Linked DNA regions of Rattus norvegicus. The main gene of each other region encodes a partner of the protein of the gene in region 2 in a complex. Links are inferred from orthologs where the notes say so. Each region holds a gene or a part of one and is shown on either strand. Other genes may lie near its edges.

Evidence for each region. The genes of interacting proteins can lie anywhere in the genome.
Region 1: Prpf3 (region 2) and Prpf31 share a complex: the UniProt entries of both Homo sapiens proteins name them as parts of the U4/U6-U5 tri-snRNP complex. The link is inferred for Rattus norvegicus from reciprocal best matches to the Homo sapiens genes PRPF3 and PRPF31.
Region 3: Prpf3 (region 2) and Prpf4 share a complex: the UniProt entries of both Homo sapiens proteins name them as parts of the precatalytic spliceosome. The link is inferred for Rattus norvegicus from reciprocal best matches to the Homo sapiens genes PRPF3 and PRPF4.

Annotation. Positions count from the first base shown.
Region 1 is NC_086019.1:74,495,399-74,500,645, forward strand, and holds part of Prpf31 (U4/U6 small nuclear ribonucleoprotein Prp31), read right to left. Parts: intron 4,811-5,247; coding exon 4,727-4,810; intron 4,150-4,726; coding exon 4,052-4,149; intron 3,377-4,051; coding exon 3,270-3,376; intron 3,009-3,269; coding exon 2,839-3,008; intron 1,477-2,838; coding exon 1,319-1,476; intron 985-1,318; coding exon 895-984; intron 1-894. UniProt on the Homo sapiens protein: Involved in pre-mRNA splicing as component of the spliceosome. Required for the assembly of the U4/U5/U6 tri-snRNP complex, one of the building blocks of the spliceosome.
Region 2 is NC_086020.1:186,081,538-186,086,784, forward strand, and holds part of Prpf3 (U4/U6 small nuclear ribonucleoprotein Prp3), read right to left. Parts: intron 3,739-5,247; coding exon 3,592-3,738; intron 2,513-3,591; coding exon 2,429-2,512; intron 2,269-2,428; coding exon 2,048-2,268; intron 1-2,047. UniProt on the Homo sapiens protein: Plays a role in pre-mRNA splicing as component of the U4/U6-U5 tri-snRNP complex that is involved in spliceosome assembly, and as component of the precatalytic spliceosome (spliceosome B complex).
Region 3 is NC_086023.1:80,887,000-80,890,959, reverse strand, and holds the end of Prpf4 (U4/U6 small nuclear ribonucleoprotein Prp4), read right to left. Parts: intron 3,665-3,960; coding exon 3,542-3,664; intron 3,427-3,541; coding exon 3,319-3,426; intron 3,241-3,318; coding exon 3,122-3,240; intron 2,674-3,121; coding exon 2,480-2,673; 3' UTR 1,525-2,479; downstream 1-1,524. UniProt on the Homo sapiens protein: Plays a role in pre-mRNA splicing as component of the U4/U6-U5 tri-snRNP complex that is involved in spliceosome assembly, and as component of the precatalytic spliceosome (spliceosome B complex).

The DNA of each region.
Region 1 (5,247 bases), on a different chromosome or scaffold from region 2:
CCTGGTCTCTAGAATTCGTGGCTACAGTTCACATGGCAGAGGATCTTTGCAGATGTGATTAAGGACTGAGATGTGACAGTACCTTGTATTGACAGTATGAGCTCAACAAAGGGCCCAAAACGAGCAGTCAGGGGCTGAAGGTGCTGCCTTGCCTAGTAAACTCTGATACAGACAGGGGCAGGAGTGTTTCTTCCCAGGAGCCTACAAATGGGAACTGCCCGTCTAACACCTAATGTTAGTCCAGTGAAACTGTGTACGTGCACATGCGTGCACCCACAAAACACCAAAGATTTGGTATCACATGGCTTCTACACTACCTCCTTACCTTATTTCTTGAGACAGGGTCTCTTCACTGAATCTGGAGCTTACTGATTTGGTTGAGAGGCCTACAAGCTCCAAATGTCCTCCCTCTTCCATCTTCCCAACAATGGGGTTAGTTAGTGGTATGTACTATTGGGCCTGTTTGTTTTTTAACAGGAGTACTAGGAATTGAACAAGTCTTCAACGCTTGCATGCAGGAACTTAAGTTATGGAGTCACATCTCTGGCTCTGTGCTTTTTCCTTTTTCAAAGACAAGATCTTACTATGCAGCCCAGTCTAGCCTGAAATTTATTATATAACCCAGACTGCCGAAAACTAGTGACCTTTCTGCCTCTGCCTCCCAAGTACTGATGTTAAAGATATGAGCTAGCAGGTCTACCAAACTTTTATATGTAGTTACTCCATCTACAGTGAGTTGTCATAGCTGTTCTATAACTGATAGACAGAGCTGAGAATGTGATGACCTTAGTTGGGGTTGAGACACACACTGCCGTCTGCTAGTCTGGACAGCTCTCTGAAGTAGCATCTTCCTATGAAAAGACCCCAAGCACAAGGAAAAGATCTTCTCCTCACCTTCCCCTCTGTGCTCTCATGGAAACTGTCCACACGAGCTGCCAGTGTACATTTGGCAGCCACTAGGCGGGCTGCCTTCCGCCGAAGATCCTAGAGCAATGGGAAGGGGAAAGGAAACTGAACCTCTAGCAAAGGTAACAGCCACTACAATAATCACTTCTCATCTAGGGCCAGCCATACCCCAGACTCTGGGAGGTAGGCCTTATGCCTGTGCGCTTTCCTAATAACTGCCTCTTGAGGGGTATGCTCTAGCTGCCCCTGGTTTCCAGCCACCCAACCATCCTCATTGCCAAGTGGCAGACCCAGAATAGTATCCTTGCTCTTCCAACCATGTTGCCTCATCCTCCAGGAGCCTGAGGGCTATTGCCAGCCAAGCCAGATAAGGCCTAGTGGCTGGGGCTAGGGGTCAAGGTGAAGTACTCACTGGGGGCAGAGACTGCACAATGTCACTGTGGTAGATGTAGCCAGTGTGAGGCAGCACTGAGGTAGAAGAGAAGCCAGACAGTGTCTTGCGCTGGGCTCCCAACAGCATGATGTTGCAGGCAGGCATCTTAGACAGGTTGGTCAGCCCTCCAGCCACACCTGCAAAAAGAGGTGAGGTCAGAACACAGGGTTTACATCCAGGAACTCATGTATACCTTTGTGGATTAAGTAAGAATGTCCCTCATAGGCTCATACAGTCACCACAAAGTAAAACTCATTGATAGATTAGAAGGTTCAGAAGGCATGGCCTTGTTGAAACAAGTGTGTCACTGGGGGTGGGCTTTGAGGTTTCAAAAGTCCACGCCAGGTCCAATGTCTCTCTCTCTCTGCTTGTGGTTCATCTATATCTCCAGCACTATGCCTGCCTGCTGCTGTGCTCCCTGCCATGATAATAACGGCTTAAGATTCTAAAAGTGTAAGTAAGCCCCCAGCTGTGTCTTCACAGCAAGAGAACAGTGACTAAGACAACTTTGCACCTTCATTTGTTGGCTGGTTTGATATCAAGTATTTCACTCAGTAGCCAAGGCTGGCCTCAAATTCAAAGCAACCCTCCTGCCTCAGCCTTCCAAATAACAGTTACTAGTATAAGTCACTGTATCCAGCAGGACATGGGATCTTTTCTGGTGGGGAGGGGGATTTTATTTTTATTATTTTATATGTATAAGTAGGGTGTGTGCATGGAGATCAGAAACTTATGGGACTTAGCTCTCCCCTCTTGTATGTGGGTTTGGGGGAATCACCACACTCAGGTTCTCAGGTTGTCAAGCCTGGGCAGCAAATTCTTTTACCAGCTGAGTCATCTTTCTAGCTCAGGACACAGAATCTTTAAGGAAATGACTAAGGTAAAATGAGGTCATATGGATCCTGACTCTATCTGACTGGCATTCTTGTAAGAAAAGGAGATAAGGATACAGATACAAGTGGTGTGGCTACACAGCCAAGCAGAGGCCTCTGGAGAAGTCTCACAGCAACTTGGTCTCAGACTTGCCAGCTCTGAAACAGTAGCCTCAGGAGTATATGCATCTTGGCCTGTGGGACTCAAGCCTGAAGCTCAGTGAGCAAAGATGGTAAGTTTTCCCATATTCCCTTTGCAAGCATCTCTCTGCAAGGAAGGAAAGGACTCTGCTACAGGAGCTTCCAGGAGAAAGAGCATAGCACATGGCAGGGTTTGCTGCCCTATCCAGTAGGAAAGCTTGAGCTGACATCAGTACTCTGTGGCTGCTCCAGGGTCTAAAATGGGCCTATTGGCAGGAAGAAGTTGGCTTGCCATCTGTGCAACCTGATTCAGCCAGCCAGCTAAACCTAGAAGGGAGTTGCTATGCTTCTATCGTGTGTACATACCAAGCTGGCTGATCTCAGTCTTCAGGGGACAATACAATCGCGCTAAGGCCAAACCCCACTTCCCCAAGGCAACCTAACCTATCAGCAGCCTCAGCCAAAGGGACCTAGCTGGGACCTCACCCATGATCTTGGCAGCCGTGGAAGCTCCAATGATGATGGACAAGTTGGGTGCAATGAACGACATCCGGGACTCCACGTACTCATAGATGCGGTGCTTGGAGGCATTCAGCTCCAGTGCCATGTCACAGGCCTCCTCTAGTCGCTCTAGTTCCTCATCTGACAGCTGCTGCCTGCATTGTGGGGCAGGTAAGGGTTGGGAACAGACCCCAGTTTTGCTAGGTACAGTTCTAACTAGTGTTCAGTCCCACCCACCCTCTCAGCTGTGTATGCAAGTGTGTTTGTGTAGCTCTAGGACTATCTAAAATTCCATCCGCCTAGGGGTCATAATTCTCAGTCAGCACCACCTTGACCATGACCCCCATTCTGCCTCTCTCTCTTTTGTTAATTGTCCTATTGTAGGCTTGCTGCACCTTACCATATGGCATACATACCCCTGGGTGGTAGAGGCAGTAACACTAACAACCATGATGGTAGCATTGGTCAGGATCTGCTGGAGATTCTCATTGTTCTTACACTTATCCAGGCTGTTGCCCAGTTCCTGGGGTAGGAAGGGGAAAAAGAAATTCTAGGAACACTAACACAGGTCTCCCCTTGAGGAAGTTGGAAAAGCTAAGGTCCATATACTGGAGACTTCTCGTGCCTTTTACAGTTTTACAACATCCCTGCCTAAAGCATCAGTGCTGCCTACTCTGCTCTGCTGATGCAGAAGTAGAACCTAGGCAGAGCAGCCTCCAAGGAAGACATGTGCACTAAAGAGGCCTTCAAAAGTGCACTTTCTTCCACAGACAAGACTTCTTCTGCCACCATCCTGATCTCTTGGGCAGAGACAGGACCCCTGCTCTTTCACCTCCACCTGCTCCCATCACTTCTAGAGAAGCCAACACCTTCTACGTCTAATGTTCTCTGACCTTTCTAAGCTTCCCTCCCTGCCCCTTCTGACTTCATCCTTACTTGTTCCCACTCAGGGTCTTAGCTCTTATTCAGCTGTGGCCTCTGCCAGATCAAAGGACTCCTGCTCCAACTGCAGCTAGAAGTAAGGGCCAGGTCAGTGGTTATCCTCCCACAAAACCAAGGGGAGGAGGGAAGCAAGGGATGTGTATGACACATCCATTCCAGTATCTGTCTCTCACCACTGAGCCCCGTTATTTCTAGACTTGAGGCTTCCTGGTCTAGTGGCCTCAGTTCTTCCCAAGCCAGACTCCTCTCCACTCACCTTGACTGTGCGGATGTAATCCAGAGCGTTGGGCACCAAGGATTCTAGCTCAGGGAATCTCTTTGAGTATTTATCCCGGATGAACTTATGGATAATGTCTAAATGGGACATGGAGGGTAGGTGTCCACTGAGGGGGAGGCAGACTCTGCTGCTATCCCCAACACCCACTTCCACCACTTTAGTAACCAACCCCAAATCATGTGTGGGGACATGGATGCCAGCATGAAATATATATTTCCTAGCTGTCCCCAATGCTATGTGGAGGGGGAAGTTTGTTCTACAAAGGTCTACAAAATATGAACCAAAGTGACATTTTTCAACTTCCAGATCATGGCCATAAGGAAACAACCATGCCCTATCTTCCCTCCACATTTTCTGGTAAGGATATGGAGGTGAGCGATCATCCTAGAGCATGAACAGGTGCAGAGCCTGGCTGCTGAAGGGGGTCAAAGGATGATTCGACTTGCTTTCCTTATTCAGACTTTTATGGAGGAGGAGAATGCAATTTCTCTTTATGTAAGTTAGTCTGTTATAGAAGACAAACCTAATCAGGAGTATTTTTGCCCAAGAAAGACAAACAAAAGAGGGCCAGGTTCATGCCTGTTCTTCCCTTTGGGTCATAAAGAGTGAAGAGCACAGGATAAGGGTGTCTCCATGGTTCTTCCCATCACTCACTCAGCTCGTTTTCTATCTCCACAGTCAGGTTGTTGGCATCCACAATGACTCGGTACTCAGGGGCTGCCTCCACCGGTCCCATCACTACAAAAAAAGAAGGGGTGTGCATGGAGGAGGGGCAAAGCCAGGGACTGGGGCTACGGTTGGATGGAATCAGAAAGCAGGGGCTGAGAGGCTACATAAGGGGTTGAAGCATTCACTAGGGCTTGTAATCCTCCCCCAGGAACCTTATTCCTGCCCCTCATCTTTCTCCTACAGTCTACCCTCGTCTTGACCTCATCCTCTCTAAAACTAAACCTTCCTATAGCTCTCCGAAGCCCTGAGGCTAGAGAGCAAGATCTTCAGACTCGCACTCAAGGTCTCCCATACAGATGGTGGTCCATGTTCCCGACACCTGCAGCCTTGGTGCACACAGCTCAGGAGTCCCTTCAGTGAGATCCACTGACTCATCAGCTCTACAGCATTACTCTTTCTGCTTTCCTGCTTCATCCTCTCAACTATCAGGCACCCAAGGCTATTTC
Region 2 (5,247 bases):
AGGGAAGGCAATCTCATCAGTGCTTAGGCTTGGTAAAATCTCCATTTAAAAAAAAAAAAAAATCAGAGGGCTGGAGAGTTGGCTCAGTGGTTAAGAGCATTGACTGCTCTTCCAGAGGTCCTGAGTTCAATTCCCAGCAACTACATGGTGACCCACAACCATCTATAATGGGATCCAATGCCTCCTGGTGTGTCTGCAGACAGTAAATCTTAAAAAAAAAAAAAAAAAAATCAGGGTTGGGGATTTAGCTCAGTGGTAGAGCGCTTGCCTAGGAAGCGCAAGGCCCTGGGTTCGGTCCCCAGCTCCGGAAAAAAAAAAAAAAAAAAAAAAAAAAAAAAAAATCAGAGTAGGGGGACTGAGAAGAGATGGCTCAGTTGAGAAAAGGACCTGGGTTTGATTTTCAACCCCAGTTGGGCCTTACGGTTGCCTGTAACTTGAGTTCTAGGGAATTCTAGGCCTCTTTCTGACCTCTGAAGATACCATCTACCCAGGAGCTACAAAGATATCTATGCAGGCAAAATATTCATATGCATAAAATAAATCTTGAAACAAAACAGCAAAAAATGTAAATTAGTTCTGTTTTTTAGCTAAGAGTTAATATAAAATAAAACATCAAACCATGATGAGGATATATCTCAGTATTTGAGAATTTGTACAGCACATTCAAGTTCATGGGCTCCCACAAAAAATACATCAAACCAAGTATTTGGAAACAGGGTATAATCAAATGAAATTAATTCTAAAATCATATTGAGAAAAATTTGTTCTTTTTTCCCCCTGGTTTTTCGAGATAGGGTTTGTGTAGCCCTAGCTATCCTGGAATATAGCCCAGACTGGCCTCAAACTCTGACTTCCCTGCCTCTGCCTCCTAAATACTGAAATTAAAGACATGTGCTCTTGCCACCACCTGGTCATTATCTAATCTTGTTTTATTCCCAAATTCTTCTCCTTTTTCAAAATTTATTTTCAGGTCCTCCAGAACCAGACTTAAAGATAGCCAACCTGTGAGTACGGAGAACCAAACCTTGGTCCTCTGGAATAGCAGCAAGTACTCTGAACTACTAGCCACCTTTCCACCAAACCCTCACCTGCCCTTTTTTGTTCTTATTTCACCTGCATTGGTGTTTTGTCTGCATGTAAGTCTGTGTAAGTGCATTGGGTCCTACAGAACTGGAGTCACAAACAATTGTGAGCCACCATGTGGACACTAGGAATTGAACCTGAATCCTTTGGAAGAAGAACCAGTGGTTTAACCATTGAGCCATCTTCTAGGTTATTCCCCTTCACCCCCATCCCTTTTGTGGTGGTTCAAGGGACTGAGAGCCCAAGGCCTCCTGCATACTAGCCAGACGTTCTACTACTGGGATGCATGGGAAACAACTCTATCATTTGCACCCAAGTTCTTAGTCTTGGGATGCTAGACCAATCACAAAGGAGACAGGGTCTTGCTACGAAGTTCTGGCTGGCCTAGGACTTGTTATGTAGACTAGTCTAAATTCGTATTTACCTCACTATTCTTGCTTCTCCCTCCTGAGTTAGAGTTGCAGACATATAGAGTCTCAACCAATATTGTTTAGTGGCTGAAGCTCTTAAGTAATAAGTCCAGAAATCTGATTCTATTCTTACCTCTGTTATTAAGTGAAAACATTATTTTATTTCTACCAGTTATAAGCAGACAACAAAAGCCAAAAATAAATGCAACTGAATTTAGATCATATATTAAAAATATAAAACTGTAAGAAATTATTTAATGTTCTTTGAGAAAATAAGTCATTAACAGGCCGGAGAGGTGGCTTAGCGGTTAAGAGCACTGACTGCTCTTCCAAAGGACCTGAGTTCAATTCCCAGCAACCACATGATGGCTCACAACCATCCATAAAGGGATCCGATGCCCTCTTCTGGTGTGTCTGAAGACAGTTACAGTGTGCTCACATATATAAAATAAATAAATCTTAGAAAAAAAGACAGAAACATGTAAGTAAATTACCTTTAATTAACTACTCCAAAAATGTTAGAAGTGACAAGGGACTGTGTGAAGGATACTCACGGTGGAGCTATGCCCATGGCATGGAGATTAGCTAGGCCCACCATGTTGGCATTGCCAATAAGCCCTGGCTTCAAAGCCAGCTGGGCCTGGATTCGGGCTTGTAGTTCAGCGGCTTTCCTTGCCTTCTCAATGGCATCATTCATAAAGGTAGCGGCCTGGGAGGGCTGAATAGTGTTGCCAATTGGAAGTCGCTCTGGTTGGGAAGAAGAAGGTGTCTTTGGCTATAAGACAGAGATTAAAAGAAATCCAAGAGTTTGAAACAGGCATAACACAGATACACACATAGACACCGTGGCAGATTATGGCAGACAGCTGGAGCACTTGCTGGACCCTCGAGTGGACGAATGACAACAGACTATGTGCTAACCCGTCTTTCAGTACCTGAGGTGCAGGGGGGCTGATGAAGCTCAGCTGCTTTTTCCTTTCCTCGATTTGTCTCGTTGCTGCCTCCATCATCTGTTTGATCTGCTCTCCAGAGGGAAAAGGTTGAAAAGATTAATTTCCCCCATACATGGTCCTAAATGAAAAGGCATTCAGTTCCAGAGACCCAAAATTTTGTGAATGTCTCCACAATAAATATATTATCTATACCACAGACAAGAAGATATACACTTAAGCACCAGAATTTTCTGATCGTTCCCCACCCCCAAGTTAGGACTGGTATATTAGGTAGCATACACTACAGTGACTGAGACTCAGACAGTATAAGGCTAGAACTGCGCCACACTTTCTGCCTGTATTTCTTTGGATAAGGCATTAATACCTTAACTTCTCACAAATCTAAAAGGGGGGAAAGCAGTGCATGCGTGCTTCCTAACAAGCTACTATGTTAAAAGCAGGCAGGGAGACTATAGAAATGGTTCAGAGCTAAAGCACCAACCACTCTTGTACAGGCCCTGAGTTCAGGTCCTAGCATCCACGAGGTGGCTCACAACCATCTCTAACCAGTCCTAGGGTATCTGACACGTAACTCCCACAGGTTCCTGTGTGCACATAAACATTCACAGTATGTTTAAAAATCATGGTTATGAGCCACGCATGACAGCACACGCCTTTAATCTCAGCACTTGGAAAGCAAGAGCAGGCAGATCTCTGTGTCTGAGGCCAGCCTGATCTTATACATTGTGAATCGCAGGCCAGCCAGGGCTAAATAGCAAGACCTTGTCTTTAAAAATGTTAATAATCACATTATCGGACCCTGAATTCCTACTGTAGGTGTGCATGGGCAATGGTGCAGGCTCTTTAGAGATGTCTCCATGAACCCTGGTTATGTCCTAACAAAATCAGAAAGAAGCTCTGAAGTCAAGCTAAGTGCTGTCATTTCATTTTCTTTTTCCGATGATGATGTATCATACCAGGTGCTCAATAAATCCAATTTCAATAATTCTTAGCTGGGTTACTTCTGATCAAACCAAAGACTGCTAAAATATAAAGGAAAAAATAAAACTCCCCCAAGTAGTTAACACAAACTCAAATCACGATCACTGTGGGCCTGAACCCATGTGCTTCAACTCACAAAAATCCCTTTGCTTCTTTTAACTGACCTGGAGCTTCGTTAGCATGCCAGGGCTTTCTGACGGAGGTCCAGGGATCACCTCTGGTTCCTCTTCTACCTCCTCAAAACGGGGTATTCGCCGCTTCTTTACCCCTGATGATTCCTTTGAGATCTCAGAGTCATCACCAAACACCTCCTAAAGGAACCCAAAATGAAAGAATTGTATCCCTCCCTAGGGGAAAAAGGAAGAACCATCCCAACCCCTACCAGCATCCTGTGGTTTCCCCAGGGAAATACGACAATCTTTCAAAAACTACTTGCAAGAAGCAGGGTCTTCTAGATATTCCACCAAGTGGACCATTCACCCAACTTCATCATTCTCCTTCCTGATTCAAGCAAATTTCATTCCCATGTTCTGATAAATGTTCCCATGTCAAGATCTTTACCAGTGCTACTGCCTATGTTTGTAATGCTCTTCTTCCTTTCCCACAAATCCTGTCTAAAACTCACCTCCTCCAGGAAGTTCTCCTCATTATCTATCTCACCCCACTCTGATCCAACTGTTCTTTCACACCGTCTCAGCACTCCGAGCTCGGCTCATGTTAGATCACATTATACTCTGACACTGTTTGCCAAGTGTTAGGTATTACTTTCTCCCAAGTAAAAGCTAAGTTCTTCCAGAAAAGAGATTTGTTCTTTTTTAGTATTCCCCAATAACATTTTCTTCTTATCATACAATGGGAACTCAAATATGTTGACTAATTTGCAAAATGAATTTAATAGGACCAAGAGTGGCCAACTGGAAGGGACAATGGGAAAAAGCAAATGTACACACCGGTGGTAGGCTTTGGGTGACATCCCCTCTTCACTAGGAGGGCTCGTGTTTTGCAAGGACATATCCTCAGCCAGGGGCGAGCGCTTCCTGGAACTCCTACAGTTCAAGAAAAAGGACTCTCCCATAATATATTGTGTGGAGTGGGGACTTGAATGGACCAAAAATGGGACCCATATCCCATGCTATCTAGATCTCTCCCTCAAGAAACCATTGTACTATCCCACCCAATGTAGTAAATTCATTCACAGCATGAGCTTGTCATTTACTGCAGCAGTACTGCTGTAACATAATCTTCCCTGAGTTAATCTGTATGGTAGGTGGTCTAATCATCTCCTCAAGTTCAACACAAGTCTGAAATTCCATAATCAATTGTAAATGTAGACAAAACTGCCACTCACATTTTGTAACGTGTGTCTGATTTATTGCAACTCCGCACTCCTAAACAGCAGACTGATTTAAGTCAAGGACTAAGTCTCCTTTCTCTGATCACCCTATAATGTTCAAAAAAACAAAAGGGATAGGAGTTTCTATTTTCCTGGTCATATGGCATGGGTATAGACCCAAGCGGACACTGCTTATTTTTCTGTGTGTACCTCAGGAAAAGCAAGTGATGTGCAAGGTATCAAAGGCTAGGGCTGGGCATGATGGTGGAGCATGCTCAGAATCTTGGCACTCAGGAGGCTGGGCCACAAGAACCTGAGCTTGAGGACAGTCTGGGCTGGGTAGCAAAATCCAAGACAAGGGCTGGAGAGATGATTTAGAGGTTAAGAGTGAGCACTGTCGGGGTTGGGGATTTAGCTCAGTGGTAGAGCGCTTGCCTAGCAAGCACAAGGCCCTGGGTTCGGTCCCCAGCTCCGAAAAAAAAGAAAA
Region 3 (3,960 bases), on a different chromosome or scaffold from region 2:
CCTAAGAAGCTATCACCTAAGATTCAAATCTACTAGGCAGCAACAACAGACTTCAAGTCAAGACACAGGAGTGGGAAAAGTCCATTGTTCATAAAGTCAATGACTTGTCCATGGCACCCACGGGTGGGAAGACTGACTAGCCAGCAACCAGGCGGAGTCCTGTCCTGGTCTGGACAATGGCCAACATTCTCCATAAAGCACTGTGAAACTGCTTCACAGATTCGCATGGTTCCACTGCTTACAGCTGGGTAATTTAAGTTTCTTAAGTCCACCCAGCAGTCTTTTTTTTTTTTTTTTTCTTTTTTCGGAACTGGGGAACCCAGTGCCTTGTGCTTGCTAGGCAAGCGCTCTACCACTGAGCTAAATCCCCAGCCCCTCCATCCAGCAGTCTTAACAGAATGAGCTGTCTCAATGTGCCTGACGCACCACCTAGGGAGGGTTAAGTGACAGTGGTCCTGCCATTCAGAATCCACTATTTTCTTAAAGCGGTTGAAGAAATGGATTATTTCCCGACACTTGCTCTGCTTAAGGCAACTCAAATGCTCTCTTGGATCAACCAAAAATTAAGTTCCTAGTGAGGGTTAGACCAGAGAAACCAAAACCCGGGTGGTGTGCCAGACCCTGAATGCAGAATACTATGCCAGTCTCATTCTACCAACACAAGAAGTCAAGAAGGTACGTTTGTAGTAGAGTAGGATAAGGGTGGTTAAGTGCCAAATGAAGGGTGGGCCTGAGTGGCCTAATGGCTACATAGGGAATATACTTGGCTATAGCTGGATTCGGATGTTTACCTGGGTGTGCTGAGCATACTCTTGACTTGGGAAGCAGAAGCAGACAGATCTCTGAGTTTGAGGCTAGCCCACAGCAAGTTCTAGAACAGCCAAGACTAACCCTGTTTTGAATACCCATCCCCCAAATGTTTTGTTATACACCACATATCGATGATCTCCAGAAGAGCAGGGCAGAACAGGAAACTGATGGGAGTTTCGAATACTGGAGAAGAGCTAATTTTACACGATACACAACCTTCTTTGAAATTACTGCTGTGCGGTTTACTGTGCAGTTCTGGAGTGTAGGGGCTGTGTACCTGCAGTGAGGTGCACACACCACTGACAGATGAGGAAGAGCTATGAAGCCCAGACACCTGGTAACGTACTCTCTAGGCCACTCTATATAAAAAGCTGTGAATGCCTAGATGTGATTGCTTATGCCTGCAATAACAACCTGAGATGCAGAGGCAGGAGGATTAAAGTCTCAGGCCAATCTGGGCTACGTAACAGAACCCTGTCTCACAAAAACCCACACCCCTCTCCCCAAACCCACTACAAAGTTCTGAATAGAGTAATAGGAATTGGAACAACTCACAGGCCTAGAATTACACTAGATCTCAAAACTAAAGACAGGGATCTCTTTGGACCAATGGCTAGGCTCACAAAATGCTGAAATAGAAAATAATGCTTGGAGGTTTTATAGTAAGAGTTTACTCTCAGCAAGTGTGTATGTGTGTGTATACACAAAAGAGTTTATGTTTGGGAACACCCAAACATAAATTAGAATTTTTTCCAGTTACTTTGACATGAAGTGTTCTTTAATACATAAAGTACACCCATTAAATAACCAACAGGAAGGAGGTTGTACAACACAGACATCATGTTTGTTTTAAAAAACTCCTTTGAATCTGGATACAATGGCCAGACTGTTTTATCACGAAGGATGCCAAACTTCAAAGCCAAAAGGAAGAGCTCTCACAAGGCCCAGTGTGCAGTTCTGAGTTCCTGATGCAGTGAACATCCTCTGTGGATGCCACCAAAGAGGGACAGCTTTACAGTGGAGCCATCGCACAGACGCAGTCTATGGCTCCAGTCCCATTCTTGGGAGCAGGAAAGGAGCTGCTGCCAGGCACATGCCCTCGGAACTGGGGAGATTTCATACAGTTCAGCCATCTTGCTTGCTGAATCACACGTAGTCCCAAGCACACGCCGTGTTCTAGAGAGCCAAGTTCAAGCATAAAATACACAACTGCCAGGCACAACAGCACATTTCTGTAACACCATCACTTGAACGGCAGGGGCAGGGGGATCACTTACAATGTGAAGCTTCCAGACACATATACCAAGTTCCAGGACAGTCAGGGCTATACATAGACTGTCTCAAAATGCCAAATAAAAAAACAATTAAAAATGAAAGAATAGTCACAATCCTGAGTGCTGAGGGAGGCCATTCAAATGTGTTGAAGTTTTGCAGACACCTACATAATGTCTATAGTTTACGGCAGAACCTGAGATGAGAACTGCGTTCTAACCACGAAGGGCTTGCTATCGCCTAAGGACTGGCTTACTCAGAAGTGGGGCTGGCGTGAAAATCCAATCCTACACACGGTATTTGGCAGGAAACATGATAGAACACAACACAATTCTTTTCCTCTGAGGAAGATGGCTCCTTAGTGAGACACAAGGTCAGAGTCCTCCCATGGTCTTGCCTACTCTGCCATCCAGAGCTTGAAGGTTCTGTCATATGAGCAAGTGGCTATGAGCTGCCCATCAGAAGAAATGTCTAGGCCCATCACTTTGCCCTCATGCCCAGCCAGAGTCTTCAGTGGGGACCAGCCTGGGTGGGTCCAGATCTTGGCTGTGTTGTCATAGGCACCCGTGAGCAAGAAGTCCCCATGGATAGCTGCAGGAGACATAAAGCAAATGTGAGGAACTCCAGGGTTCAGAAACAGCCTAGGAAAAAGACAACGATCTTCCAGACAGACCGACCACATGCATTCTACATTCCTAGGGGGGCCTCCAAGATGAGGGACAGTCATGAGGAGACTGAGGACAACCAAGTAACAGATGAAGGCTGTGTGGCTGCTCTTCCCCTGGTGGACAGTTTGTTCAGTACCATCAAGCATCTAGTTAGTGCCTGACCACCCATGGAGCACAAAATGAAACAGAGCCTTCGCAGAACTCCCTGCCTCAAGTGCGCTCTGCACAGTGCTGTCTAAAGGTGTGGCAGAGGGAAGGACACTGAAATTTGCTTCTTTAACAATGCTCCATGTCCATGTCTACTGCCCAGGATGTATTTCATGAAGCAAAGGGTGTCTGATATTAAGGCTGAGAACAAGAGAAAAGCTTACGCTCAAACTTGACACCAGTCACTAAGTTCTGATGGGCGGGGATGGTGTAGACACAGCGTCGCTGTCGAAGATCCCACACCTTGCAGGTGTTGTCACCACTGCCAGTGGCAATGTGGTAGCTGTGGATCAGATGCATCAGTTAGAAACATAGAGTGCTGTCTGACCTGGACCCTTCCCACTCACTGAGTCTGCTTTACCCATTGGGGGAGAAACTTATCCCGTAGATCTCCTTCAGATGGCCTTCTAGGAACATAATGCAGCGTCCTGTGCGTAGGTCCCAAACTCGGCCAAAGGCATCCAGTCCCCTGAGGAGACAACATTTGTGTGAACATATGGAATACAGTGTGACAAGAAAGCGGGGTTGCCTAAGAGGTGAGACTACTAAGCTGCCCTTCCCTTGCTTTGTGGAGGAAATCTTACCCAGTGCCAGCCAAAGAGCCATCTTGATGGAAGGCAATGTCATACACACCCATGCTGTGGCCTTCCTGGTGTAGAATCTCCTCTTGAGCCTCTAAATCCCATAAGCGCCATGAACGGTCATAACTTAAAAATAAATAAGAATAAATTTTCCAACTTACCAAAATTATACCAACGATAAATCAGCAGATTAAGTGTCTATGACAAGGGGTTGGGGATTTAGCTCAGTGGTAGAGTGCTTGCCTGGCAAATGCAAGGCCCTGGGTTCGGTCCCCAGCTCCGAAAAAAAAGAAAAAGAAAAAAAAAAGTGTCTATGACAAGGAACTATAGATAACCATAGCTTAGCTCGCCGCTGGTCAACCATACTACCAAGAGCTGCCAGGCTGGAGGGGGACGGCTGAGGACAAAAGCAGACTGCTCTT